Linked DNA regions of Nothobranchius furzeri. Each later gene encodes a partner of the first gene's protein in a complex. Links are inferred from orthologs where the notes say so. Each region holds a gene or a part of one and is shown on either strand. Other genes may lie near its edges. The genes, in order: tectonic-1, b9d2, b9d1, mks1, transmembrane protein 237B, tmem231 and cc2d2a.

Region 1 (4,061 bases):
TTAACACACTAGATCATTCGCCCCTGGCGTAGACACGAATATGTAGACACCTCATTATGTGCTGGAGAGCGTAACAGCTTCGCCGCCATATTGGTTGGGTCTCTTTGCTCTCCAAATCCAACTAGAGTCAACGCAGAATGACGGCTGCAAAAGCCATGATTGTATTTTAATTTATTTTATGTAATTATATTTATATTAGAACTGCCATGCAATATCATGTGTCTGATTTTGTGAAAAACATAATTAAATGTGTTCTTTAGTTAGCTAAACGCCTTCCTCAGTAGAAATAAATGCACTGGGGGCGAATGGAGACCCATCCAAGATGGCGGCCAGCCACTACAGTAGCTCCAATAGGCAGCACCAGCCCACGGGGGGTCTACGTATGCCTGTGGTCCATGGCACCTAAAAGTTTGACCTCTGACTTCAACTACCACCAAATCACTCTCAAACCAAACAGCATGGAAAAGGACATCTTTGATTCTGATTTGACATTTTTAGTTTCTCTTTCTTGTTTTTGCTTTAATGATCATATTTAGCACTATCATAAGCAGTTTTTAAACGTATACATTGAATTGCATATGCAGGATTGTTTTTCATAACTAATTTTTACGACACTGGACCCATTAATACTTGTTCCGTCCAACTAAGGCCCAATCTCAATACTCTCCCTGTGGTCTTCAGCCAAGTGCATTTGGAGAAAGTGCGCTGGAAGGCTTCGAGTGCGTAGTACACAAGTGTGCAAATAATTACAGAATTGAGACAGGGAGCATTGCGTATGCCGGGATGCTGGTTGCTGTGATACTTTGTTTAAAAACATTTATTAAAAACTTTCAAACAAACAACCAAACAATTATTTGAAATAAATTGGCATTCTTCGCTGCTTTGTCTTAAAGTTTCAGAGCATCAACTAATTGTTCTAAAATTAACTACTTTCATTAGAAAATACATATTTTCGGATATGGAACTTGAGCCCTTTCTCCTGCAGCAATGGATTGTGGGTAATATACTTCACTCAAGTCTGCATCGCTGCAGACTTGAGTGAAGTGTGGATCATGGGTGCAAAAGGGGCATGATCAGCTTATGCATTTGAGAATCGAGACACCCTACGCACTCGCAGCCGTGGTCGGGATCGTGCAATTGAAGGGCACGAGGGCGAGTATTGGGATTGGGCCCAAGACTCACTTGGTATCCACGTGAGTCCTGGACTCCTGCCGGGGCTGCCTGATCTGAGTTTTCCATCCTCCACAGAAAAGGAGCAAACAGTTTAAAGAGCAGGTCAAAGTTGGTATCAGTTGGAAGAGCTGGAGAGGGATGGGACAATCCATCAATACCTACGGAGAGGAATATCACACAGCAGGTGAGACAAACCCCTTTTAGAAAAATAAACCTGGAAGTAAAACAAACTAGAGAACTTTAATCTGGTTTTAATCATGGTTTACTGTTTAGGTTTTAACTTAGTTTATACGTCCTGATTGATTCTTTATTTACACATAGCTGAGTGTGAGAGCTTTTCTCAGTTGATGTTTTCTATCAGTCATCTAGAGACCCGACACACACTGCGCAGTGCTAAAATTAAAGTTATTAAATAACAATTTAATTAGGGGACTGGTCACCTGTCCAGGTGCGTCACCACCTCTCACTTAATAACAGCTGAAGATGGGAGCCAAGTCCCCATCACCCTTAATGGGATCAAGTGGGCCTAGGTGGACGCGGTCAAACTGACTAAATTCAAACAGCTTAACTGGTTCTTCCTAAGGAATTCTGGTGTCTTACGATTCTGTGATCGGATGCAGAAGATGTTGGCGTTGTCCTCCTTCTGGACCGCTGACTGCAGCTCTGAGTAGCCATTCACGTTGGTCCTTAGAGTGTAGTATGCTGCCTCCTGGTTACACAGCTGCTGGCTGCCACTGCAGAGTTGCAGAGACAAGTCAGGCAGCTTTTGTGTAGCTTAATAAGAACACACAGCAACATTCAATAGGAAGAGATGTAATTATCAGGTCTCAGAGCCTATTTAGGTTCTTCTGCTCCATGTGGCTCCTTAATCACCACCACTGTGTGATGTAGCTGAGCGCCACACCTGTTCCCAACCAGAGCAGCAGGGACCTTCCAGCAACATGAACCAAGCAGAGCAGAGGAGCCGTTCTAGGTGGAACCCAGCCAGTCCACTAACCTCCTCACAGAACCGAGCGAACAGCTGGTGAACAGAACCACCTCCCCTCCACACTCTGGGTCACAGCAGCAGTTGGTGTCACACACACCCAGGACCTCATCACAGGGACACAGGCTGTCAGCTGATGGACGGACACACACACACATTAAACCGCAGCGTGGGGACCCTGTCACAGTAGCAGAGGAAGCGTGGACGGTTACCGCTGGTCTTGGCAGACAGCAGATGGCCCGAGACAGGCAGCGGCTCGGCGGCTACGGGGGAATTCTCCGTTCCGCCGGGGCTCGGTGTGGACTCGAACTCTGTGTAATTATCCGTAACGGTGTGACTAAAGTTCGGCTCAGTCGTGTTAAACGCGCCGTTAGTTGTACTTTGGTTCGAAGCGACAGAAGTAATCGAGAGAAACAACCAGAGAGACTTTAATATGGAGAAAACAGCGGCCGAGACCGCCATGTTGTTTAGCGTTGCTATGGTTCTTCTTCTACTTCTTCCTACTCTTTTTCTTCTTCGTTGGTATTGATTCTAATTACAGCTGTTTTACCGCCGCCTAGCATTCATATGTGGAACTGCTGTTGAAAAGCACCAGCGAACTGAACCGCACAGAAAGGATTCGTTCACAGACTAAAAACAGACACTTTTGCTTCCTACACAAAGCAGCTCCACGTGCTTCACGTGTTACCAGGAAATCAGCTGTTTTTATACCTTCTTTTAATTCCCTCACACAAATACGGAAATAATAAAATAAAAATATGTTCCTGTGTCAATAAAAATTTTAAGTAATAACAGCCTTCACCACGTATGCGAATGTGTGAATATAATTTAAAAATGGATTTCTGCCTCACTTGATATTTTATTATTACTTATTCATACTTTTCTACGGAAGCGTATTACCGTCAGTGCAGGGAAAAAAAACTCAGGACCAGGATCGCGTAATAACGAGAAATGTTCTCGTTATTACGCGATATAAAACACGTTCAAACGAGAAAGTTTCTCGTTATTACGAGATCCTTTCTTGTTAAAATTAGAAACTTTCTCGTTAAAACGTGATTTATATCACGTTTTAACGAGAACTGTTTTTCGAAATAACGTGTTCTATAACTTGTAATAATGACGTACTTTTCTATTTTTTAACCCATCGGAAGGATTCAGGGTATTTCATTCTACATTCTGTTCATAGTTTTCTCCACTAGATGGAGACACAGACTGCAGGTTTTGGCCTCCTTCAGCGTTTGACTTGTTCCACTAAAGGTGAATTACAATAGATCTCGTCTTCTCCTCTGACTTGTACGTGGCCAGGGCTATGTGTGTGTGTGTGTGTGGGGGGGGGGGGGGCAGCCGACCATTCAGTTCAATCCCAGCAGGTTAAAGGTCACGTCAGAAACGTTCTTGACAAGATGCTGAACCCTTAAGTCGCCCCCCAGGAGCCATACACAATGCAGCCCCTGAGGGAGGGGTCAAATGTGGGGAAATAATTTACCCAAGAGGATCAATTAATGTATATTATTATTATTATTATTATTATTATTATTATTATTATTATTATTCCTCCACTGTCCGCTGCTGGGTTTGGCTCTTTCCCTGCTCTCACCAGGAGGGTTTCCAGCTGGACGTCTCCTCCATCAAACTCCGGAGGCCCTCTGACAGAGAGTGGATCAAGCCCAGATCTAGTGAGACTCAGCCCCTACAGGTGTCAGGTGTAAACCTGTGGCTTCCTGTCAGGTGTCTTTAACCACCAGCTGATCCTCTGCCATTGGCTGAGCGGGAGAGAACATGCAGGGGTGAGAGAACTGGCCGACAGCGCTTTTTAGGGGTTTTGGGCTGGATGTGAATGAAACACCAAAGGTTTTTGGTTCACTAAGAAGCTTACAAGCATCAGCAGCTGGTGATGAAAGGA
Region 2 (2,772 bases), on another chromosome or scaffold:
TTGCATGGTGTGGTATTAAATGGGAGTGTGTGTGTTTCATACTTGGCACAGCGGACCCAGTTGATGTGCTGGTTAAGAGAGAAGAGGAACTTCTGCCTGTGGACCGTCCACACTTTGATTGTTTTGTCATTAGACGCTGTGACCAGGCTCTGTCCATCACCGGAGAAGTTAACACAACGCACAGTGGCAGTGTGAGCCCTGAATTCAGTTGAATCAGCCTTCCTGCAAACACAAAAGGTATTATTCATACATAAAGCAGACAAACACACTGTTTATTCAGGGCGCTGGTATGATGAAATTAGAGTAATCAGCAGATCTTGTTCTTTTGCCTTTAGGAATCCACAGCTTTGTCTTGAGTGATAATTTCTGGAGAAACTTGATGAGAAGAAAACAACATAAAATGCTGCTACGTATAAACTTACATGCTGGGCACCCAGAGACGTACAGTTTTGTCTCTAGAGGCCGAGGCCACAAGGTGACCAGATGGAGAAAACTGGACAGAGTTTACAGCTTCTCTGTGTCCATCGAAACGATAAGCTCTCATCTGAGGCTTCAAGTTCCAGATCATCACACAAGAATCCATAGAGCCTGTGACTGAGAAAGGAGGAAGCACAAGCTGGTTGAAGCAAGAGATTGGTATTAACTACAATGTGCACACAACAAACTGGATAACAGGTGAATATATAGACGGACAAAGGCTCAGATCAAATAATAATAATATTACCAATTTGTTTCATGTTGCGGCTGAAGTCCACACTTGTCACGACGTCCCTGTGACCCTTGAAATTTCTCTCTAGGGTTGGATCAGACTATGATGAAATCAACAGAGATTTTCAATTATTTTACAAGTTTATGTTTGGAAATTATTTTTTCATTTGTTTTATGACCACTTTTGTTATTAAATGATATTTTCTTCTTTTTTGTATTTTATGTTTTATTTTTTATGTAATTTTCATTGAAGAACTTCATGATTTTCTTTTCTACAATAGGTTCTATATAAATAAATTTTACTTTCTTTAGTTATCCATTGAGTTATATAAAAGTTGCAAGATGAACAGTCATCAGGAAAAGCAGGAGAAAGCATATCTAAATAAATAGCTTTTTAGAATTTATAACCTTAAAAAATAAAGCACCATTGAGATGTAAACAATACATTAAAAAGTACAGTGCACTTCATTTGCCATCTTGTTGAACTTGCGCTGTTAAATAGTTATTCGGAAAAAAGTAAACCAGCGGTTCTTGTATACCCTTTATTCAGTCTTTCAGGTATGATTGTAATTTATGTAACAGCTGCTTCACGTCATTAATTAAATTGGTTAAAATTCGTAATTAGTTTACTAAATTAAAGGTTAAGTAATATTTTTTTAGCAAGAAGATATAAAAATGTGTCTCATTTGCCTTCAAAAATAGAACCAGCCCTAGACAGGAAGTGCTGCCTGACAGACTCTGCTCAGGGAGTGCTGTATTAAGAGCACACTATGGCAGGCTGGGTTACCAAGGAGACGTGAGCTGCGTTTGTTGCTCTGTAGCCTTTGATAAAAGCGGGCTCCGTGTGTCGCATGTTCTGGTTAAAGCGGACAGCTGTGAAATGGCAGAGCTTCACATTATAGGACAGATCATCGGGGCCAGCGGGTTTCCTCAAAAAAGCCTATTTTGCAAATGGGAAGTTCATACGGGGGGAGCATGGCGTCTTCTCTCGGGGCTGAAGGAGGGTCAGACTCAGGTGGATTCCCCCCACAGCGGAGAAATGGCTTACTGGAGCCACCCAATTGATCTGCACTATGCGACCAAAGGTCTCCAGGGCTGGCCGAAGCTTCATCTGCAAGTGTGGCACCAGGACTCATTCGGCCGCTACCAGCTGTACGGATACGGGTACTGCCACGTTCCCTCCAGCCCCGGACATCACCGCATAAGCTGTGTGACATGGAGGCCGCTCGGCTCCTGGCAAGAGCAGCTAGCACGAATATTTGTCGGCGGAGGCCCCCAGCTCCGCAACCCGGATCTGATTTACAGTGGAGCGGACAGATACAGACTGCACACCGAGGCCATGGGCACTGTGAATCTGGAGCTGGGCGTCATCATAAGACACTTTGACAAACATGGCGTCGAGAGCTGAGACGTCAAATAAGAATGTTGTATTGATTGTTTTCTTATAAAAAGTTTGTTTTGTCGCAAATGCCTTTGAAAAATTACACACGGCAAAGTTTTGTACATTTCTATGCTGATGTTTTTACACCTGAAATACAGCTATAAATAAACACTTATCATTGAAGTTGGTTTCTTATTCATCTACCGTTTACCATCAATCCAACTATACCTAATATTTCATATTTGTAACGTTATGAATATTTGAACATGTGTGTGTGTGTGTGTGCGTTAACCAAAACAAGTAGTCTACTACAAATCAGACACGAACTTCCTCAGTTGCTACAGTAACAAGTGCTAGCCAAACTCACCAGTGCAGAAGTCATTTTTCCCGGTATTTAGCACGTACACCCGAGTAAAGAGGCTCGTTGCTGCTTTGGCTATTATGACCGAAATACAATTGTTCTCAACTGTGGGTTTTGAAATGAACAGAGGGAGGAAAATATCGCTCCGGTAATTGGAATTGTTTTTTCTAATGCTAGCTGCTAACAACAGAGTTCAGTTTACGCGCCGTGATTGGGCGCTGAGCTGTTGGCCAGAGTCCTTAAAGGGGACGCTGGACATTAAAGGACGTTTGTGTCGAAAAAAGACTTCAATCAAATGTAAAAACGATGAATAACAAAATAA
Region 3 (3,994 bases), on another chromosome or scaffold:
TGACCAAGAGTTGTTTAGGCCACAGAGTGTGGGTAGACCGACCTGCAGGGTAAAATATTTTTGAACCGCATTGGTTTGTCTAGTTTTCTAGGCTTATGCTCTCAGAACTTGCCTTCCCTGTCTTCCTGTCATAGATTCAACAAGGTGTTGGAACCCGTCCTCAGAGATTCTGGTCCATGTCATCCCACTTTTACATCCATGAGGGGAATCTCCCATTCCACCACATCCCAAAGATTCTGGACCAGACTGAGATTTGGTAACTGGAACCCATGGTCATGTTCCAGATCCAGTTAGAGATTATCTAATCTTTGTGACATGGTGCATGATCCTGCTGGAAGTAGCCATCAGAAGATGGGTCCAAGTGGTCAGAAAGGGTTAGGCTAGATTTCTAAATGCATCGAGTTCCTGCCATATGATCGCGAAGATCAAAAAAGAGCTGGAGGTGAAAAAGTGATACAGGTGCTGAGCTTGGCAGACAAAATGGGAGATAAAAGGAAGCAGGTGCAATAAGAGCTGCTGTTTATGGAGCTGCAAAGGTCAGAAGACTTGGGGTGGGCCCTGGAGACAGCAGGAAGCACTGTGTGGGAGAGAGCTGAGAGAAGAGCAAAAAAAAAAAGGTTGCTGGGTATGAAACAGCTGAAAGAAAGAGCTGTTTTTGTCACATCTGAAACAAAACACAGTATTTAGACACACGTGCCAGAGGGGTTTACATACTTTGGAATGCAGATTTTTTGGTTTCATTCATTTCTGATTTTCAAGCATGTGGCGCAGTAGGAAAAGCAGACATCCATGTTTATATACAGCACTGGAGGTGTCCAGTTAGCTGGAAATTTTAAGTTAGGCTTCTTGTTTTGGATGTTGTTTTGTTTCAGTTATTGTTGAACAGACATTGCAGTCCTTTGGGCCTACAAAACAATAAAACGATGGTTGAGAAATAACATTTTCAGGGCTGGTAATAAGGTTAAAAAACGATTTTCAAACATGTTTGGTCGTGAAGTGATTTCAGTCGTGAATGAGAACGAACCTGCATTTTTAAAAGTCAGTGTATTTGATTTTGCTACCCTCTAGTGGACGCCTAGACAATTAAACCAGAGTTTTTATATTGTTTCTCCGCCTTCTTTTCTCCTTTTAATAAACTTCGGGTGTTTATAAAAATAAGTATTTTGACTGAATTTCTTGAATTACTTTTTGCTCTATTTAAAATTAATTTTAACACGTGATGGCCCAATATCACCAATAAGAATTGCGTTTAATTTTATCCAAACCGGTAGCCATAGGGAGGAGTAAACGTTGCCTTAGCAACAACCTCGGATCGCTTCAGACTGACCAAATTAGCTCGACTTATTTAACAGACTTTTACTTTCTTGAACCTCTGGAGTCACGATGGCAACAAACAACCCGAGCGTGTTCCTCCTCACGGTGAACGGGCAGATTGAGGGAGCGAACGTAAGTCGTCTTTTTAGCTAGTTTTAGCTTAGCTGCTAGCGTTAGCATTAGCAACAATGGCTCGTTTGGTGCTTCATCCGGGATGTTCCGGGTTGTTTATGGTGATGTTTGTCTTTTATTTCAGTTTCCAGAGCATGACAATCTGTACTGCAAATATTGTTACGTGTACGGCCACGACTGGGCTCCAACCACAGTGAGTATTACAACCATTAGCATTTAGGATGAAACATGAAGTATGCTTGTTGGGTACCACTTTACAATACTAATACATTTATTATAGTGATGTTATTAATGTTTTCAACGTTTTAAAGCCATTAAGTGTTTATTATGCACGAATTAAGGGTGAGAATGAGACTAAACTGGCCGGATTCTTGCCGGTATACTTCTACTAGACTGTATGTATTACACAGATCAGACTGCTATATAAACAATTTATTAGCATATTATAAAAACATAACTATCACATGACGTCAAAAGTGTAAAAAACATGTAACTTTCTGAAATGTTTTAATATAGAAACTAGAGGAAATATATGGGTGATCAGATATGGCTCACTATTGGGCAAGATGTCTCTTTTCCACTCTTCGTTCATGTAAAATAAACGTCTTGGGTTCTGAGAGCACTTATTGTGCATTTTTAATTTTCATCTATCTGTTCTGGATTTGTAAGACCTCAGAAATATATTATTTAAAGCAAATACTAACTGATAATGGATTTTTTTTAGCTCTAAATTAAAAATAATTAATTACGTTTCCTTGAGTAATAATACAATTTTGTAAGATATAAACAAAATGATATCTCAAGGCTTTTTCCACATATGTGGATGCTGTGTTTACAGATGGGTTCATAACAATAAACCTTATTGTTAAAGATGTTCAATATGCTTTTTTTTACGGATAATACTACGTTTGAACACGAACCCACACAGATGCAGACAGTAACAAACGAAACCTCAGATCAGCCATATTTTGATGTGTTTGAGGAGTTTGATGTATAATGTGAGCATGTTATGCAAAGGTTGTGTCATTCAAACAGTAAAAAAGATAACTCAACGATGTTACATTTTAATGCCAATATCGGACGATGGTATTGCCCAATAACGTCAGACGTGACTTTCAAGGATACAGAACAGGGTTTATAGATAGTTAATGCAGCGGTGGCTGGATGGAGTTGTGTTGTAACGAATGTGACTCTCCAGGGACTGGAAGAAGGAATAACTCAAATAACCTGCAAAAACAGTCAGACACAGAGATTAGTCTGGAACTTTCCTCTGGAGACGACGTTTAAGAGCACAAATCCTTTTGGGTGTGAGTAGATCACAATTTCATCATCATCATCATCATCATGTGTGACTCTTTAGGATTAACGCCGTTTGTCCCCCAGGGCCTCAGCTGGTGGTGAGTGTGTACGGACCAGATGTGTTTGGTAACGATGTGGTCAGAGGCTATGGAGCAACGCACATCCCCTTCACACCTGGACAGTCAGTATTACTTTCATGTTTGACCTAAAAGCATACAGAATGTGTTACTTCGGTTTGAAGATACAGATCTGAATGTTTTTCACTTGTCAGACATAAAAGATCCATCCCCATGTTCGTTCCCGAGCCCACGTGGAGACTTCAGAAGTTCACAGGGTGAGATCGGTCTCCTTAGCTGTTGGAAACCCGTGATCTTTAGAGGAACAGTAAATATTTCATCTTCCTCTCATGTGGAACGCAAGCTTCCAACACAAACACACGTTTTAAAGGTTCATTTTTGACTAATCTTTGTCACGTTTGGATACTTTAGATTCACACTCGGGCTTGTTTGATGTTGCTCTCAGTCTTTTTAGTGTTTTTCTTTTCATTTTTACCATGAAAACTGAATATTAATGTGATTATTATTAGATCTGATGGAGTTTTTTGCCATTTTGAGGAGCGTTTTGTGTAAAACTTACTAATTATCTGGTCAGAGAAACAGACTGTGCATCCTAGAGGACTGATGAGCCACATCCAGGCCTCTAAATGTCATAGATCGCCATGTGAGGTCATTTCACTGCTGTCAGGTTCTCATCACATAGACATTTTAGCAGAAATATGAATAAATTCCTGCAGGACCTGACCCCTGATGCACCAGAAATGCTAGTTTATTGGGGATGTTTACATTTGTAAAGAATGTGATGAACCACAGTGAGCTTTAGCAGACCTGTGCCGTTTTAGGACAGCAGCAACTGGGACTAGCCATTAGCACGGCCTTCGTGAAGGATGCAAATTATTCAGGAAGCTGTGAACTGTTTCAGAGAAACACGCTAAAAGATCCTATTTCTGTTCAGCTGGCTGCTGGGGCGGCGGCCCGAGTACACAGACCCTAAGGTCGTGGCCCAGGGTGAAGGCAGAGAAGGTTAGTGGTGCTTTTTCTTCTTTTACCTTTCTAGAATAAAACTTTTAACATATATATATTTTTCCGTTTCAGTGACAAGAGTTTGTTCCCAAGGCTCTGTAACCGTCTCCTTTCACATCATGAGTAAAGACATGAAGAAGATGGGCTACGACGTGGGACCGTCACACGTC
Region 4 (3,631 bases), on another chromosome or scaffold:
TGGTACGACCCGACCGGGTTTGAACCCCGATGTCCAAGGGCGGACCCTCTACCACTAGGCCTCTGAGCTGGTAACTGATTAAAGTGCATTAGATGAACCAGTGGGAACGTTTGTTTCTTTGCAAACATTTTTCGCTAACCAGATGTTTGTTGTCCAGCCCGCTGTTGGTACGCTACGTTACCTGATGGATGGAGAGATCGGTGAGGAGGACGGCTGTGATCGCTATCTTTTTAGATTACCCATCAACTTTCAAACTACCACTCTCTCTTTTCCCTCTTTTTCTCTTTAGTCTCGGCTAAAGGATTTGAGTATGATAACTTACACGTCCACTTCGTCCTGGATCTTCCCAATAGTGAGTAACAAGCCGTCTGTGATACTCATTTGTGATATTTAGTTTTAGTGAGATCTTAGTAAACTTTTTTGTTTTAGATTGGTCCAGCTCAATGCCCCAGTTTCTGTCAGGGGTTACCCAGACTTGTCGAACCAAATCACTGGGGAAGGTGTGTGTTTGACGTAAGAAACTGGTTACTTGCTTCAGAACATGAACACTGACACACGTTGATCTCTGCCAACAGGAAAATGTGGCTTTCTTCAGTTACCCCTTCAACTTTGAGATTTTTTACAAGAGTGAGAAAGAGAGTGAAGGTCAGCGTGAGCCTTTTCATTTTGAAATGATGTGATTTAAAAGTCTAAATTTAAGTGTTTTCACTTTTTTTAATTTCAGAGCTAATTCCCCAGTGGCCAGTGCTTTACTTCAAAGTTCTTTCTCTTGACCTGTGGGGGCGCTATCGTATTGAAGGCTATGGTTATCTGCTTTTTCCAGCTATTCCTGGTATGCTGCTGCATCTATAAGACTCATTGACTAATTTACTTCTTTATTATTTAGATGATTTTAGATTCACATTACTGTTATTTTTAATTGTCTTTAAAAGTGTTATTTTATTTTAGTCCAGGGATGTCCACCCTTGTTCCTCAAGAAACCCTACCTAGCACGTTTTAGTTGTTTCCCTGCTCCAAAGTACCAGATTAAATGGTTTGATCAGCCTTCTAATCCCCTGCTGATTGAAATCAGTAGTGCTGAAGCAGGGAAACCTCTAAAACATGTAGGACGATGGCCCTCCAAGACCAGGATTCGACACCCCTGACTGAGTTTTATCTACTGAACATTCAAAAACAAAATTTAAAGATATTCAGATAATTCACCAAAGATTGTACTACAAATGAATTCATACCAACAATTTCAAATATGCAAGATTTTTAACTTCACATGGTTCAGAAAAGTTAATAATAATTCCTCTGCATGCTCCATCATTCATCTCCATCATATATTCTGTTTCTGGTGCATCCCAGGTAAGCACACCATGACCTGTCACACATGGCGACCTCTTCAGATGGGGACGGTCTCTGCATTGAGGCGCTTTTTTATCGGAGGTTCTGCAGAGATTGAAGATCACAGCTATGTCAGAATACCAGGGACCTTCAAGGTGCACTCACAGCTAAGCTAATTCCAGGTTTTGAACCTTTGCATAAATTTTCTCCTGAAGGTTTAATGGGTGAAACATGATGTTTTAAAAATATACATTGTGGTAGTTGTAGCATTATTTCGTTATCACCAAGTTAACTGTGTATACCTGAGCAAGCAAGTAAATTAATGCATTATTATGATTCTTAATCTGGTACAATGGTGTCTGGTTTCAGGGAGACAGGCTGAGTCGCTTGGGCTTCTGCAGTCTAACCTCAGGAAGTGTCACATTTAATCTGAACTGCATCCAACAAGCCAGGTAAAGACCAGTTTAATCAACAAGCAGCTGTTTCTGATTTTCTCCCTGACAGCTTAACAGTTTATATGGAATGAATAAAACATCAGAAGTGAGATTTACTCTCTGCACTGCATGCAAAACACTATTTCTTAATGCAAATGCAAGTGTTCCATTTACAAATTTCACAAAGATCTGTATTATTAATGCAAATTGTTTCATCTTTACTTTTAAAAAGTGTTTACTGTTCGCTTCTGGTTGTTTCAGGGCCTTTGTTGACGCTGCCATTCAGAAAAAGAGGAGGCAGAAAGTCATCGACCAGCTGGGAGGATTTAGTCAGCAGGGAGATGTTTGCAATGTTCTGGGTAAACATACTCACACAGTATTTGCATCAGGGTTTAAAAGACTTTCACTTCCTGTTTGCTGCTGAGTGTATCCTTGTTTGTGTGAGCTGTGAGTTCTGTGTGTGTGGTTAAGTGAAAAAGTTTACTGTAATCAGGCTCTGAATGTTCCACCATTTATTATTTTTACCATGAAATGATTTTATGATAGCGGGAGTGAAAATTAGCATAATGCCACCAGTTAGCCTCTGTCAGCGAGCGTCAGGGCAGCTGTGGCTACATCGTAGCTCATCACCATCAGTGTGTAAATGTGTGTGTGAATGGATGAATGATACACTGTAGTGTACAGCGCTTTGGAGTCCTTACTCTGAGAGGCGCTATACAATTATGGGTCATTTATCATTTAGATTCTCGTTATTTCAAACCACTGGAAGATGGATTTGTTAGGACACTCACAAAATGTTATGGACTGTATACCAAGCCTTGCATTGCAGCTTGATTGCCCAAAGTAGACAAAAATGTAGAAAGAACAGGGAATTTTTCTGCAGGGTTAATTTAATTTGTATTTTCTGTTTGTTTGTTTTATTTCCCTTCAGAGGCCTTTCAAAGAGCATACAAAAAGCTACAAGAGGCCAGAGAAACGTTCCCACAAAAAGCCATCAACTCTACTTCCCAACTCGAGCTGGAATTTTCTGCATAAAAACCAAAAACACACTAAAACTGACATTTCAAGATGCATTTAGGATCCTGCACAAGCTTCCAAAACTGAAAAGTTTGTCTCAAGTCATCTTCTGTTCTTCTCAGACTGTAACTGACATTTTATTGACAAATGTTATTAACTTAAAAAATCATCAGAAACGATTTATTACACCAACATTAGGAGATGGAGCATAACACTTGTCTAATAAATGTACTATAATACCAGCAGTTTTTTTTTACAAAATTCAAGGTACTGTTTTCTTTTATTATTTATTTTACTGTTTATTTTTCTTATCTGAAATAAAGGTTAACTAAATAAAAATTAAATATGCAATGAAGTGGTATATTTTCCCCATTTTTAAAACAAAACAAATGGACTGAAACCCGCATTATCTGACTGCGGGTTGTCCTCCAACGTAGCATTCGTTTTAGCTCCAAAGGGAAGTAGTCCAATTTTCCATGACTGTAAACGCACCATTCTCCATCTTCCTCCAACCAGGGAAAGGACCGTTCAGCGATTTTCCCTCTCAGTTTCACACACGACCAGGTACTTAAGTACACATATTTCACGTTAATTTTGCAATCGTGTAATTTTTTGATGTGTAAATTGTGTGTCTTAGTCAATGTATGGCTGCTTTAGCGTATCTCTAGTAGGCATGTAGCGATGGGAACTGGGCCGCTGGTCGCTTTTCTCTTTTTTGTGTCAGATTTAGCCTAATGCTCAAACGAAAACTGAAATCGGTTTTCTGAAACTAAAACCCTGGTGGTTATTTAGATTCACTGTTTGGGGCTGTTTACTGCGGAATGAGTGTTGATGCTTTTTTTCGTACATAG
Region 5 (4,263 bases), on another chromosome or scaffold:
AATACCTGGATGTCTCACCTTAGGAATCGGTACAATTTCTGCATCCTTCCACGGTTCAGGGAACTTTTGTAACCGTAAAGATTCATTAAAAATGTGGTGCAGTATAGGTGTCAGCTGGTATGCACAGAATTTAAGTAAGTGGCCACAAATGTCATCTGGTCCTCGGCTCTTGTCCACTCTAACTGTCCTGATGGCCCTACCTATGTCCTCCATGTCAACTTTAAAATGGTCACTATCCTTAAATTTCTCCCTCAGGACACCCTGTTCCCCGCTGAAATCCAGAGCGTCATACCGACAATCAAAACTGTTCAGGGCATTAGCTAGTTCCCTGTCAGTGTTAAACGGGTCTAGACAGATGGTTGTGTACTGTGCCTCGGAGCCATGTCCTGCAATAATTCTCATGCTAGTCCATGCTGAACCAAGTTTATTTGCTGCCATTTTGTTCTCCAGCTGTCTTCTATATTCATGTTTAGCCTTTGTAATTTCTCTTTTTAACAGTATGTTAGCCCGCTGTAACTCAGCCACTGACCCCTGTTTAAAAGTGAAAATGAATAATTATGCTGCCTAAACTAAGTTTTGAGGAGTGTGCAAAGCACTAATCAAAGTGCTTTCCTCAAAATAAAAATATTCCCTTTGGATCCCCGCTGGTTACAACATTAGAGTAATGTATTGCAAACTAATGGAATTTAAAGGCAACACGTTAAATGAAAGACATGCATGTTTACCTTTCAGTATGAAGTGCTATTAAATCTAACTGGAAACTGTCAAACACGGCATGTCGGTCAGAAAAGGGCAAAAAAAAAAAAACATCTAGCTAGCAGTTATTTTCTCTAATGAAACTGAATTTTCAGAAGTGGTATCGCCAAATACAAACCAGATCCGTGGCAAGACATTTCAGTAAATCCATTTTTACAAACAGTCACATCCTCTCCTACAAAACCAGACAAGCACACGGCATGAGTGTATTTAAAGCACCGACTCTCGTTAGTGACAAGATCATATCAAACAGGCAAGATGACAAAAATCTTACCGTCGTCGTTCTGGTTATTTCAACTAAGAACTGAGTCAAAGTGAAGCAAAGCAACACGCGTCATCCCAACTCTGAAATCCTCGGCTAAATCTGGCAGGACTGAGGATTACTTGGGGTCAAAGGTCAGATGAAGCAGCAGTGAAGTGGTTTATTACAGAGAAGTTTAAAATGAAAGGATTCAGTGGAATCTGGTTTAATCTTTCTAATGATACTGGTACAACAGTAAACTACTCAAAGGCCTCACTTGCATATTTAAGTATATAAATAATAAACAAAGAGCTCCAAAGTTTCATAAAGCTATATGGTGGTTGTTGGTAAATCCTTGGTCAGTAGTGGGCTTGTCATGGTACTCAGACCTGAGGGGATTCAGATGTCGTTCTGGATTCCTTTTTTCCTGAATCCCTTACGAACGGGGCATGGTTTGTTGCTTTTTGAGGTCTTTTAACCTTCCTTCTTCATGCTATCAGACAAATTCTATTGAAGTGATTTCTTAATGCTACAATTCTTCAACAGGGGAAGTGAAGTTATCTTTATAGATAAGGGGTTAATTTAACAAAAGGGGAAAAGTGTTTAAAGATAGGGCAAAGTTGTTTTGGATAGCTTTCTACTCCTTCGTTTTATGTTAACCCAGGTTATATTTGACTGATATTTACATTTTTTGCTTATCTGAAACATTTTTAAATGACCTGACTTTCTAGTTCTAACTTCCATCGTGTACATTTATTAATGCTCAGCAGTCACAATGAAGCAGGTGCTTCTTTAGACAAAGCAATATGTTAGTAATAAAAATAAACACTTCTATAACAATATAAAGATTTAGACGTTTTTGAATATTTCTTCACCGTTATGAAGATATTTTACAAAATATTTAAAATCTTCCAATAGCATATTTTCTTTTAAAACTCCTCAAATAAGGACCATTACTTTTACGTTGTAACGTTTTACGATAAAATTTGCAGTACTTCCGCTTTCTAGCTGAGGTGCTGCTTTCAAAGTAAAAGCTGACTTCCGGTTCGTGCTTTCACGATTTAAAAAGCTTTAAAAACATTTTTGAAACTCCTTACAGTAGCAAAATAACATAGTTAAAATATGTCCCAACGTTACATTAGACGTTTAGTATTTGTGTGGGTGTTACTGGAGTTATGCTTCTCTTACACAACATCTATCATCTAACCGTCTGTTGCCATGGAAACGTGGTGAGTGTGTGAATGGCGCAGCCGGGGAAGAGCACGCTAGTATGATCGGCGGTCCCTCCGTTTGTTATGACACTGCGGCTGCAGTAAGTAATTCATATAATATGAGAACAAACAATGATGAGGCTGCGTACGTGGGTGTGAGTCACTGACCTGTGTTAGCGGAGGGAGCTCCCTGACCCTCTGAACATACAAAGAACTTACATTAGTTCGAGCATTATCGCGTACAACATTAATATTATCACATAAACACTTCAAACGAACAACTTAACACAATAATAAAGCATTTGACTGGATTGCATTGATATTATTTGACGTATTTAAATCACAAAACACTATGAAGGCTAGCTAAAGAGGGTAAAAACTTCCCACGTTTGCGTGTCCTGCGTCCATTCTTAATCTTTTCACCGAACAACACGACAGTAATAAGCAACCCGGTCACACCCTCATCAAAATAGAAGCAGATTCTACTCCAAAAATGTTTTTAAACTCGAGTAGCGCGCTAATTGTGTTTGGAGCAGCGTTCTTGGACACCGGATGTGCGCGCGAGAGCAATGTTTACGTCTTCAAAATAAAAGCGACGGATCGACGTAAATATCAAAATGTATTATTGTTATTAATATAGAATAGAAATCATTTTTTGTCAGTGGAAGAGGTTGAAACCGTAGACGGGGACTGTTGGATAACCTTTGACCCCACATGGATTCACCCTGTAAGGAGGCTAATCTTTTCTGGAAAGCTCAGTGTTTTTCATGTAGATTATACTTTTATGCGAAAATGTTTTTTTATGTCTGTAATTGTTTTATGTGTCTTTTCATCAAGTTCTAAGATATGTTCTGCTTTTGCTGCTGCCTCATGGCCTGATCCTTGTTGTAAGCAAGTCACAATTACAATAAATATGAACACAAATGTGCAGGAAAAACGATCTATTCATAAGAATTTAAGTTTTTAAATACAACTTTTTGAGATACGACAAACAAATATGTATTCTCTTTTAATAGTTTTAAACAAATTATGCTTTTTAAAAAAACATATCTTAAGAACTACAAAGATATTTTTGTCACTAATGACACTTGATAGAATTTAATCTCCTAATACAGTGAAATGCTTTTCTCAATAATGCTGCATTTTCAATAATGCTGCATATTATTGAGAAACAAGTGTGAAGTGGGAATCAGTTTCATGTTCACTTAGCTCTCTCTAGCGGTCACTCACCGCTATTGCATCCTGCTCACCGTTGTTGAATCAGGAAAGATGAACAACAAACTACGGTAGTTTAAAAAGCTAAGAAAAACATGCAGCGTTATACCAATACAAAAAACATGTCTGTCGCCATGAGCACATTTATTTAAAAGGGACACACTATGAAGATTTTAAAGCTATAATAGTTCTTTAAAACAATTTTATAGTATTCTTGGTTTTGTTAACATTGCTGTAAGCCAATCAGAGGCTAGATGTTGGCATATCATGAATATTAATGAGAAAGACTTGTAATCAACACCAGAGCATTTTTTGTACAGAAAACGACTAAAAAGGGATTCAGTCATAATAGAGACCAAAACACATTTCTTGAAAAAAAAAAGTGAACGAGACTTTTTAATTTGTAAATACTCTTGTAGGTAACAGCTAAATGGGAGATGGTATGCATAGTGCCTTCTAGAGTCTTTAAACCCCTCAAGGCACTTTACAATACATCAGTCTTTTACTCATCCACACACACATTCACATGCTGGTGGTGATGAGTCACAATGTAGCCACAGCTGCCCTGGGGCTAACTGACTGAGGTGGGTCTGCCGTACACACTAGTCACCAGTTCCACCTGAACACCACCAGCATGCAAGGAGGGTGAAAAAACAACTGCGTCAGACTGAGTGGTATCAAGTCTCTTGAAAACAACCAGGTCTCCAGTAACTAACCCATATGTACCCCAAGTTGTGTATTCCTAAGCTGTGTCAGACCCAAGTTAAAGCTTCTATAGTAAATATGGAAAACAAGTTGGCCTAAAACTTTTAGCCTCTTAACAACATTCTAACGTAGTAA
Region 6 (3,110 bases), on another chromosome or scaffold:
TTCATACATTCTCCTGCAATGCCCTGGTCCTGTAGAATGAGCCCTGGCATTTTTACTGTGATTGCCTGTTTTTATGTAAAATCACAGAAAAAGAGAGATGCTCGGGTCGAGCAGGCTGCTTCATGCGCGTTCACGCTCAGGCATCGCCCGTAGCGTTTGCTATCCGTAGCTTTAGCAGCAGAGAGAGAGGCAGTGCCACTTTGTCGCTGTTCCTAACGCCTAGTGACAAAGCTAGCTACATTTCTGAGGACCCTTAGCTACTTTCTGTAGAACTTTCTTCTAGATATTTCCTGCTAATTAGCAACAAAATAGCCATTTTCACTCCGAACCGTTCTTTGAACGTTGTTTCAGCTGTCATCAAGGATATAAATGTTAGACAGTCTGAATGTTACTAGAGTGTAGCTCACCTTGTAAGATATCTGACTCTCGTGCAGAAGACCTGGGTTTGATTCTGGATGTGAACATAGTTTATTTAGAGTTTATTTTTTACATTAATGGTATATTTTTTACAGTAAGATGCCCAAATTTTTATTTGAGACTCGCTGAACGGCATTGAATTCACAGATAAAAAAGATGTGGGTTCAACTTTCATTTTGGAACAATTTTTCAAGCAAGGGAAGGGAATGATCTGAGCATGCAGGAGGACTGACCCGTCATAAACCTTTGTCGGCTGTGCTGAAGAGAAAGGTACAGAACCAAATTATTTAATTAATTATCTGTGTGTTCTTTTGTCCTCCGGGCCACACACACACACCTACACACACACACACGGGACTGTCTCAGCTGTTATTTTCGTTAAGGAGTGTGCACGTACAGCGTGCACGCCTCGTGTACGAGCCTACTACTGAAGCTGCTGTTATGCTTTTGGCCTGAGGGGGCAATCGCAGGCATTAAAATTCAAAAGTCCGAAAAGTCCCTTTAAATTATTGTTGTTTAATTTAATAGTCAGAGCATTTCTATTTCTCTGGTTTCTGCTAGCGGATGTCGACAGTGGTGATGCAGAGTCTGGCTTATGTGCAGCACTCCTCACCTGTACCTGGAGTTAAACTGTTCATCAGTGGAGACCTGAGGCTTCAGCAGAGGACACCGCTTCCTCATCGGGGCCTGTACAACATCTACAATGTGAGAATAGTGTTTATTCCTTATTTATATTAATTTATCCATCCATTGTCTATACCCGCTTGTCCATGCGGGGTCGTGGGGGGGCTGGTGCCTATCTCCAGCAGTCTCTGGGCAAGTAGGCGGGGTACACCCTGGACAGGTTTCCAGTCCATCACAGGACAAACAACCATGCACACACACCTGCGGGCAGTTTAGAAAACCAATCAGCGTGACAGTCGTGTTTTTAGACTGTGGGAGGAAGCCAGAGTACGCAGAGACACCACACATGCACAGGGAGAACATGCAAGCTCCATGCAGAAAGACCTCAGGTTGGGATTTGAACCCAGGACCTGCTGCAAGGCAACAGCGCTAGCCACTGCTCCACTGTGCAGCCCTATGTTAAATTAATATGTTAAAGTATTATTTTTTGTGTTTACTGACCTAAAGGTGTCAGTGATCGATGGCACCAGCCCCTTTGCAAGTTCCTATGACCTCAGCAACATTATCAGGAGCTACCAGGAGAGAAACGGTAAGTAAGCAGAGGGATTTATTCTCTGCCGACGCCCACGGTCTCGGGTTTTGTATAATGAAGTATTTATAATTTTATAATTGTCTTTTCTTTTTTATTTAGTAACAACTGTGCTGTCTTGTCCAATGCCAGTGTGGACTATAGGACATGCTGCTGGTTCACCTTTTGAGCTTAACGCTGAAATCCGCTACCCGCTGGAGCTCATCAGATATCCTTTCATATCTAAAAGATCACCAAAAGGTGTTGTCTTGTGACTGATTTACCTTTTCGTCTTTAGGAGACGGATTACATAAACCATGACTCAGAGTTATAATTCTTCTAACGTTTTCTTAACTGCCTCCCTCCACTTATCGTCCTGGCTTCTGGGAAACCATCAAGTTTGCTTGGATCCAGTATGTCAGCGTTCTCCTCATCTTCTTGTGGGTCTTCAAACGCATCCAGAGATTTGTCTTTCAGAACCAGGTTGTAACAACCGTACCCATACCTGTAGGAAAACCTCACCTGTCGTGATGCAGAGCTGAAAGTTTATCTTTTAGGTTTTGACCAGATGACACCTTTTGTCAATTTGCTTCATGTCTGTAATGTTTGTTCTTTGGACTTCTCGTTGTTGATTCAGCTATATGTTATTGTCTAATCTGTTTATTCTGTAGGCTTAAGCATTCTAAAAGATGTTGTTATAAGATCATATACATCCTGATCTGCATCGGGGAACAAACTGTTCTTCTTTGTCACATTAAAACAACTTACACATCGTAGATATTACAAATCCTATGTTAAATTACGTGAGTTTCAACAGTTTAGTAACTTTTTTCATCTTATGTAGATTTTTCAACTTTTTTCTTATTTTTAAATCATTAAAAAAATTTTGTTTGATTTTAGCGGCTCAGTTGTAAAGAACATAAGGATATATTTTCTATATTGTTGTTTTTTTTTACACATTTGAAACTGGTTTTGACAAAAATAAAGACTTTTTAAACTTATTATAGCTTTACTGGGTATTTATTAAACAACGTGTGAAAGGAATGAGTCGTTTGGAACTATCATGAGTAAAATAGGAGTTCTCGTATTAAAGCTGTTAAAGCACAACTTCTTTCCTAGGATTAGTTTTTAATCACGTGTTTGTGCTTGATGAAAAAGATTCAGTGGTCAAATAATGTAAAAACTAATTTTCACAGACAAAACTTCAAACATGTAAGCAGGCTTATCCCTATAGTGAACACAGTGGTGGCAGCATTATGGTGTGGGGGTTGTTAAGAAGCAGAATGAAAGAGACTGTTGAGAACTGAGGCCTAAGTAAATGCAGCCAAATCCTATAATCCTCTGCCTCTCCTAAAATAAAATAAATCTGTGAAGATGACAGCTCTGGTTTTCATTTTGAGAGTGTTGTGGATTCTTAAAAAATTCATGCAGCAGACTAAAGACTTGATTCAGCTAATTTCCGTTCTCTACTTTGTCTTCTGGAATCCTGACACATTCTGTT
Region 7 (3,500 bases), on another chromosome or scaffold:
TCCTGTCATCTGAAACTACTTTCTCCTCTAGCTTAATGCTACGTCTTCAAGCAGGTGCACCAGAGCTTTTTTTTTACCCCAGTGAAAGACTTACAAGGCATTCATTCCTATTATGGGCCACTGCAAATGTATTAGTAGTATGGGTGAAGTGGACCTTTAACATTGTCCAGCTGTGACTGACTCACATGTTAGCACCAGCTCTGAATCAGGTTTCACCAGTAGTACAGGTATTTGAGTAAAGGAGGATTCAGCTCTCTCAACATTTTCCCTGTAGCTTCAGACATGAACAGACATTTTAATATAGTTTATAATGAGAAAACTGATATCAGAGAGAAAGAGGAGTGAACAACCACATTAGTTTTGATCAACAGAGGTATGCACGTCTGCTTGGCTCTGTCAGATGAATTAACAAGTAACACACAATGCTGAACAAAAATTGGAGTTATTGTTTCCCAATGTGCTTTTATTCAAGGTTCAGCAACCCCACAGCCTTCCAGCTCCGTGTTTTTAGACACCTTTGTGACACAGCACTTGCAGGAGAAGCTCAGAGCGGCACGGGTGAGTACTTTTTTGTTCTGGCATGCAAATACGTTGTTATTGTAATTAGGATTTAAATCATACAGTCACACATAGACATTTTAGTCTGTGCAGCATGGACAATCTACATACTTGGATTTAAAGCTGTTTGCTATCAGCTTTGTTAGATCCTGAGAAAGAGCAACAATATTAGCATATGAAGCTATATCATGTATAAATATCCAGGATATTTATACAATCGATAGAAGTTCCTACACCAACTGTCTTGGTCTATATTTAATCCAAAGATTAATATTTAATTTAAGAAATTTTATTAAACAGAAGACTTAATGGAATCTTTGCTTATTCAATAACCAAATGTACACCACTCTGTGTTTCATTTCAAAGAAGAGTCAGGTTTAAAAAGTTAAGAATTTATTACTAATAATTTAAAGATGACCATTTGTAACAGCTTTGATATTAAAACTTGGTATTAAAAGCAACCTGTGTCTGGGTGAAAACTAAAGTGGAATGCGTGGATGGATTCTCAGAGTTTTCTTTCAGAGAGAGAAACACGTTGTGGGTGAAAGAGTTGTTGCAGCTAACTGAGTTGTTTCTTAGAGAGAACAGCGTCGGACGCCATCTGTGTTCCACCTCACCCAGTTAGACGACCCTCTGTGTGGATCCGGAGGTCAAAGGGAGGATGTTGTCAGCCTCTGGGTACTCGGTCCGGTAGGGGAGACCCGAGTGGTACCGACTCTCTGGTCCAAGAGTTGTCGCAGGGTACACAGTGTTGAGCTTGCGTCTGGCTTAACTCTGAAGGAGTTTTGCATCCGCTGGTGCAGGTGGTGTTTATTCTGAGCGATTCTATCGGCGTGACAGGTGGAGGCTTCGGGCGGCCGACCCTTATCCTCGTGGAACTCTCGTGCCACGGAGAGACTTTGGTTGGTTCAGGACTGAACTTCAACTGAGGAGTTTTTGGTTTTATTAAAACTCAGGACACGCCCTCTCAGAGATAGAAAGCTTTGGTTATGGAGCAAAGACGTGTGAGGTGCAGTTACCTTTACCCTGCATGGTGTGTACACGTGTACTTGACCTTCTGGTTACTGATCAAACATTACTGATTATCATAAACAATAATTATTATTATTAACCAAAGAATAATAAGTCATTTCAGTAATGAAATACATTTATAATGAACCATGATGATTATGTATGAACCTTGAAATAAACAGTGTAAAGAGTTTATTAAAAATGATTATTTTAAATCTTGAAGTGTCCTTCGTCTTGGACGGAACAGCAGACAGAGAAAAGATGGTTTTTAGCAGACTTTACGCCTCCTGTGATGGATAAGCTGTGGACTGAAGTTCAGCCAGGACAGCGTGACCCAGCTGGGGAAGTGTGTGTGACCTTTGGGTCACAAATGAGGCCATTCATGTCGCTACATGTGCAAGGGACCCTTTTGACACATCACGCCTGGATCTTGTGTTCCAGTCTAAAGGAGAGAAGCTTCAACAGCTAGAGGCTTCTGTACAGTCACCCAGTCGACTCCAACAGCTCAGAGACAGAGACACCGTGACGAGGTTTGACACAAGGGTGAGGTCAACCACAAAAGAACGCTGGTTTCCAAAATAGCTGGAGAGATGAATTATTATTTAATTTAGCAGGTTGATCCAGTCGGTGCAGGAAGACATGATGACCCTCCGGTTCTTCACAACCGGATCAAGTTCAGAGAGGCTGCAAGAAGAGTAAGACACTTAGATTCAGACTGTACAAAAACACTTGTATGGAGTTTTATAATTACCATTAATATTGTACGTGCAGGTGAGAGACCTCCCAACGGCTGAGGAGTCATACAATTTCTTTACTTTCAACTTTGAGCCTGATCGTCCGAATGAGAGGCTCAGCAGAAAACGGCAAATACGAAGAAAATCTGCAGAGGAGGCCAGAGATGAGGAGGAAGGAAAGGCAGCTGAGGTGGAAGAAGATGCCGGAGGGGAAGATGATCAAGATGAAACTGTAAACCAGGTACCACATCAGTGAGAGGATTGTGCTCAGATGATTATTTTTACTTGTTCTAAAACATTCACTCTGGTTTTCTGCACCTGCTTAAGAGCGATGAAGCTCACCTGGTTCAAAATGCAGATGACTTGTTTGTCATTGATCATTCTCCTCAAGACTTCCTGGTAGTGAAGAAGGCTGAATATGTCAGTTACCACACACGTATTCAGCAGGAGAGTGAACTGTTCACACCGAGCTTTCGAACTGGTAAAACATGTGATTCACACTGGTGACGTACAGCCGGCTGCTCGTTACCTGGAACCGTGTCTTTATGATTCGTTGTGTTGCAGTGCCAGCTTCGGTCAAACTGCCTGAAAACATGAAGCCTCGCTTCCTGGAGGAGGAGGGTCTCTACGTGGGAAAGAGGCCCGCCATATCTCTGACCAATGAGAACATTCTAGAGAACCGCCTTTTGAAAATGGACGAGGTGTCAGCTTGCTGCTCTGCTCAAACAAATAACTGTCCTCATTTTGATGTTAATATTCAAACGTGTTTTTGTGATGTTTGTTTCTCCTGAAGGGAAGGAAGTGGTTTGGAGATGATGGGAGGATCATCACTCTGCCTGACCCTGTGAAAGAATCGTCCACGCGACCGCCACTGGCTGACATGGAGGAGGACCTTCATCCTGCACTGCAAACTGTTTACCGGAGGGTAGTTTTAGTTACCAAGAAATGAAACCGCAGGGTTAATAAAAGGAAGATTTTTCATTTTTGCTGTTTTTATTAGGCTTCCCTTTAGTAAAGATTTATTCCTATAAGTAGGAATAATAGGAGTCCATCCGCTGTACTGGCAGGCTGTAATTAGATCATTCTTGCTAACGGACAGGGACAAAGGGCAGATTTAGAGAAAATGCAACGCATTCAGAATCTTTTAATATACAAATGCTTCTGTAGTTTAATTGATCTCATCTTTAATCATAAACA

What was found.
Region 2: tectonic-1 (region 1) and b9d2 share a complex: the UniProt entries of both Homo sapiens proteins name them as parts of the tectonic-like complex. The link is inferred for Nothobranchius furzeri from reciprocal best matches to the Homo sapiens genes TCTN1 and B9D2.
Region 3: tectonic-1 (region 1) and b9d1 share a complex: the UniProt entries of both Homo sapiens proteins name them as parts of the tectonic-like complex. The link is inferred for Nothobranchius furzeri from reciprocal best matches to the Homo sapiens genes TCTN1 and B9D1.
Region 4: tectonic-1 (region 1) and mks1 share a complex: the UniProt entries of both Homo sapiens proteins name them as parts of the tectonic-like complex. The link is inferred for Nothobranchius furzeri from reciprocal best matches to the Homo sapiens genes TCTN1 and MKS1.
Region 5: tectonic-1 (region 1) and transmembrane protein 237B share a complex: the UniProt entries of both Homo sapiens proteins name them as parts of the tectonic-like complex. The link is inferred for Nothobranchius furzeri from reciprocal best matches to the Homo sapiens genes TCTN1 and TMEM237.
Region 6: tectonic-1 (region 1) and tmem231 share a complex: the UniProt entries of both Homo sapiens proteins name them as parts of the tectonic-like complex. The link is inferred for Nothobranchius furzeri from reciprocal best matches to the Homo sapiens genes TCTN1 and TMEM231.
Region 7: tectonic-1 (region 1) and cc2d2a share a complex: the UniProt entries of both Homo sapiens proteins name them as parts of the tectonic-like complex. The link is inferred for Nothobranchius furzeri from reciprocal best matches to the Homo sapiens genes TCTN1 and CC2D2A.

The regions. Positions count from the first base shown.
Region 1 is NC_091741.1:109,995,319-109,999,379, reverse strand, and holds the start of tectonic-1, read right to left. Parts: upstream 2,801-4,061; 5' UTR 2,621-2,800; coding exon 2,371-2,620; intron 2,292-2,370; coding exon 2,171-2,291; intron 1,908-2,170; coding exon 1,774-1,907; intron 1,332-1,773; coding exon 1,183-1,331; intron 1-1,182. UniProt on the Homo sapiens protein: Component of the tectonic-like complex, a complex localized at the transition zone of primary cilia and acting as a barrier that prevents diffusion of transmembrane proteins between the cilia and plasma membranes.
Region 2 is NC_091743.1:62,503,167-62,505,938, reverse strand, and holds b9d2 (B9 domain-containing protein 2), read left to right. Parts: upstream 1-1,150; 5' UTR 1,151-1,588; coding exon 1,589-2,116; 3' UTR 2,117-2,272; downstream 2,273-2,772. Other genes in the region: poc1a (POC1 centriolar protein homolog A), read right to left, coding at 43-222, 423-594, 725-809, 2,457-2,471. UniProt on the Homo sapiens protein: Component of the tectonic-like complex, a complex localized at the transition zone of primary cilia and acting as a barrier that prevents diffusion of transmembrane proteins between the cilia and plasma membranes.
Region 3 is NC_091752.1:49,448,100-49,452,093, forward strand, and holds the start of b9d1 (B9 domain-containing protein 1), read left to right. Parts: upstream 1-1,194; 5' UTR 1,195-1,383; coding exon 1,384-1,446; intron 1,447-1,570; coding exon 1,571-1,639; intron 1,640-2,644; coding exon 2,645-2,753; intron 2,754-2,829; coding exon 2,830-2,926; intron 2,927-3,016; coding exon 3,017-3,079; intron 3,080-3,756; coding exon 3,757-3,824; intron 3,825-3,896; coding exon 3,897-3,994. UniProt on the Homo sapiens protein: Component of the tectonic-like complex, a complex localized at the transition zone of primary cilia and acting as a barrier that prevents diffusion of transmembrane proteins between the cilia and plasma membranes.
Region 4 is NC_091750.1:66,889,933-66,893,563, forward strand, and holds the end of mks1 (tectonic-like complex member MKS1), read left to right. Parts: intron 1-157; coding exon 158-200; intron 201-289; coding exon 290-352; intron 353-429; coding exon 430-500; intron 501-575; coding exon 576-645; intron 646-724; coding exon 725-832; intron 833-1,350; coding exon 1,351-1,484; intron 1,485-1,698; coding exon 1,699-1,781; intron 1,782-2,024; coding exon 2,025-2,122; intron 2,123-2,694; coding exon 2,695-2,798; 3' UTR 2,799-3,131; downstream 3,132-3,631. UniProt on the Homo sapiens protein: Component of the tectonic-like complex, a complex localized at the transition zone of primary cilia and acting as a barrier that prevents diffusion of transmembrane proteins between the cilia and plasma membranes.
Region 5 is NC_091742.1:64,222,251-64,226,513, forward strand, and holds the start of transmembrane protein 237B, read right to left. Parts: upstream 2,801-4,263; 5' UTR 2,617-2,800; coding exon 2,593-2,616; intron 2,407-2,592; coding exon 2,377-2,406; intron 1-2,376. UniProt on the Homo sapiens protein: Component of the transition zone in primary cilia. Required for ciliogenesis.
Region 6 is NC_091744.1:86,205,128-86,208,237, forward strand, and holds the end of tmem231 (transmembrane protein 231), read left to right. Parts: intron 1-978; coding exon 979-1,122; intron 1,123-1,548; coding exon 1,549-1,630; intron 1,631-1,732; coding exon 1,733-1,838; intron 1,839-1,977; coding exon 1,978-2,140; 3' UTR 2,141-2,610; downstream 2,611-3,110. UniProt on the Homo sapiens protein: Transmembrane component of the tectonic-like complex, a complex localized at the transition zone of primary cilia and acting as a barrier that prevents diffusion of transmembrane proteins between the cilia and plasma membranes.
Region 7 is NC_091748.1:39,031,130-39,034,629, forward strand, and holds part of cc2d2a (coiled-coil and C2 domain-containing protein 2A), read left to right. Parts: intron 1-472; coding exon 473-558; intron 559-2,010; coding exon 2,011-2,112; intron 2,113-2,180; coding exon 2,181-2,264; intron 2,265-2,340; coding exon 2,341-2,544; intron 2,545-2,630; coding exon 2,631-2,784; intron 2,785-2,867; coding exon 2,868-3,004; intron 3,005-3,096; coding exon 3,097-3,228; intron 3,229-3,500. UniProt on the Homo sapiens protein: Component of the tectonic-like complex, a complex localized at the transition zone of primary cilia and acting as a barrier that prevents diffusion of transmembrane proteins between the cilia and plasma membranes.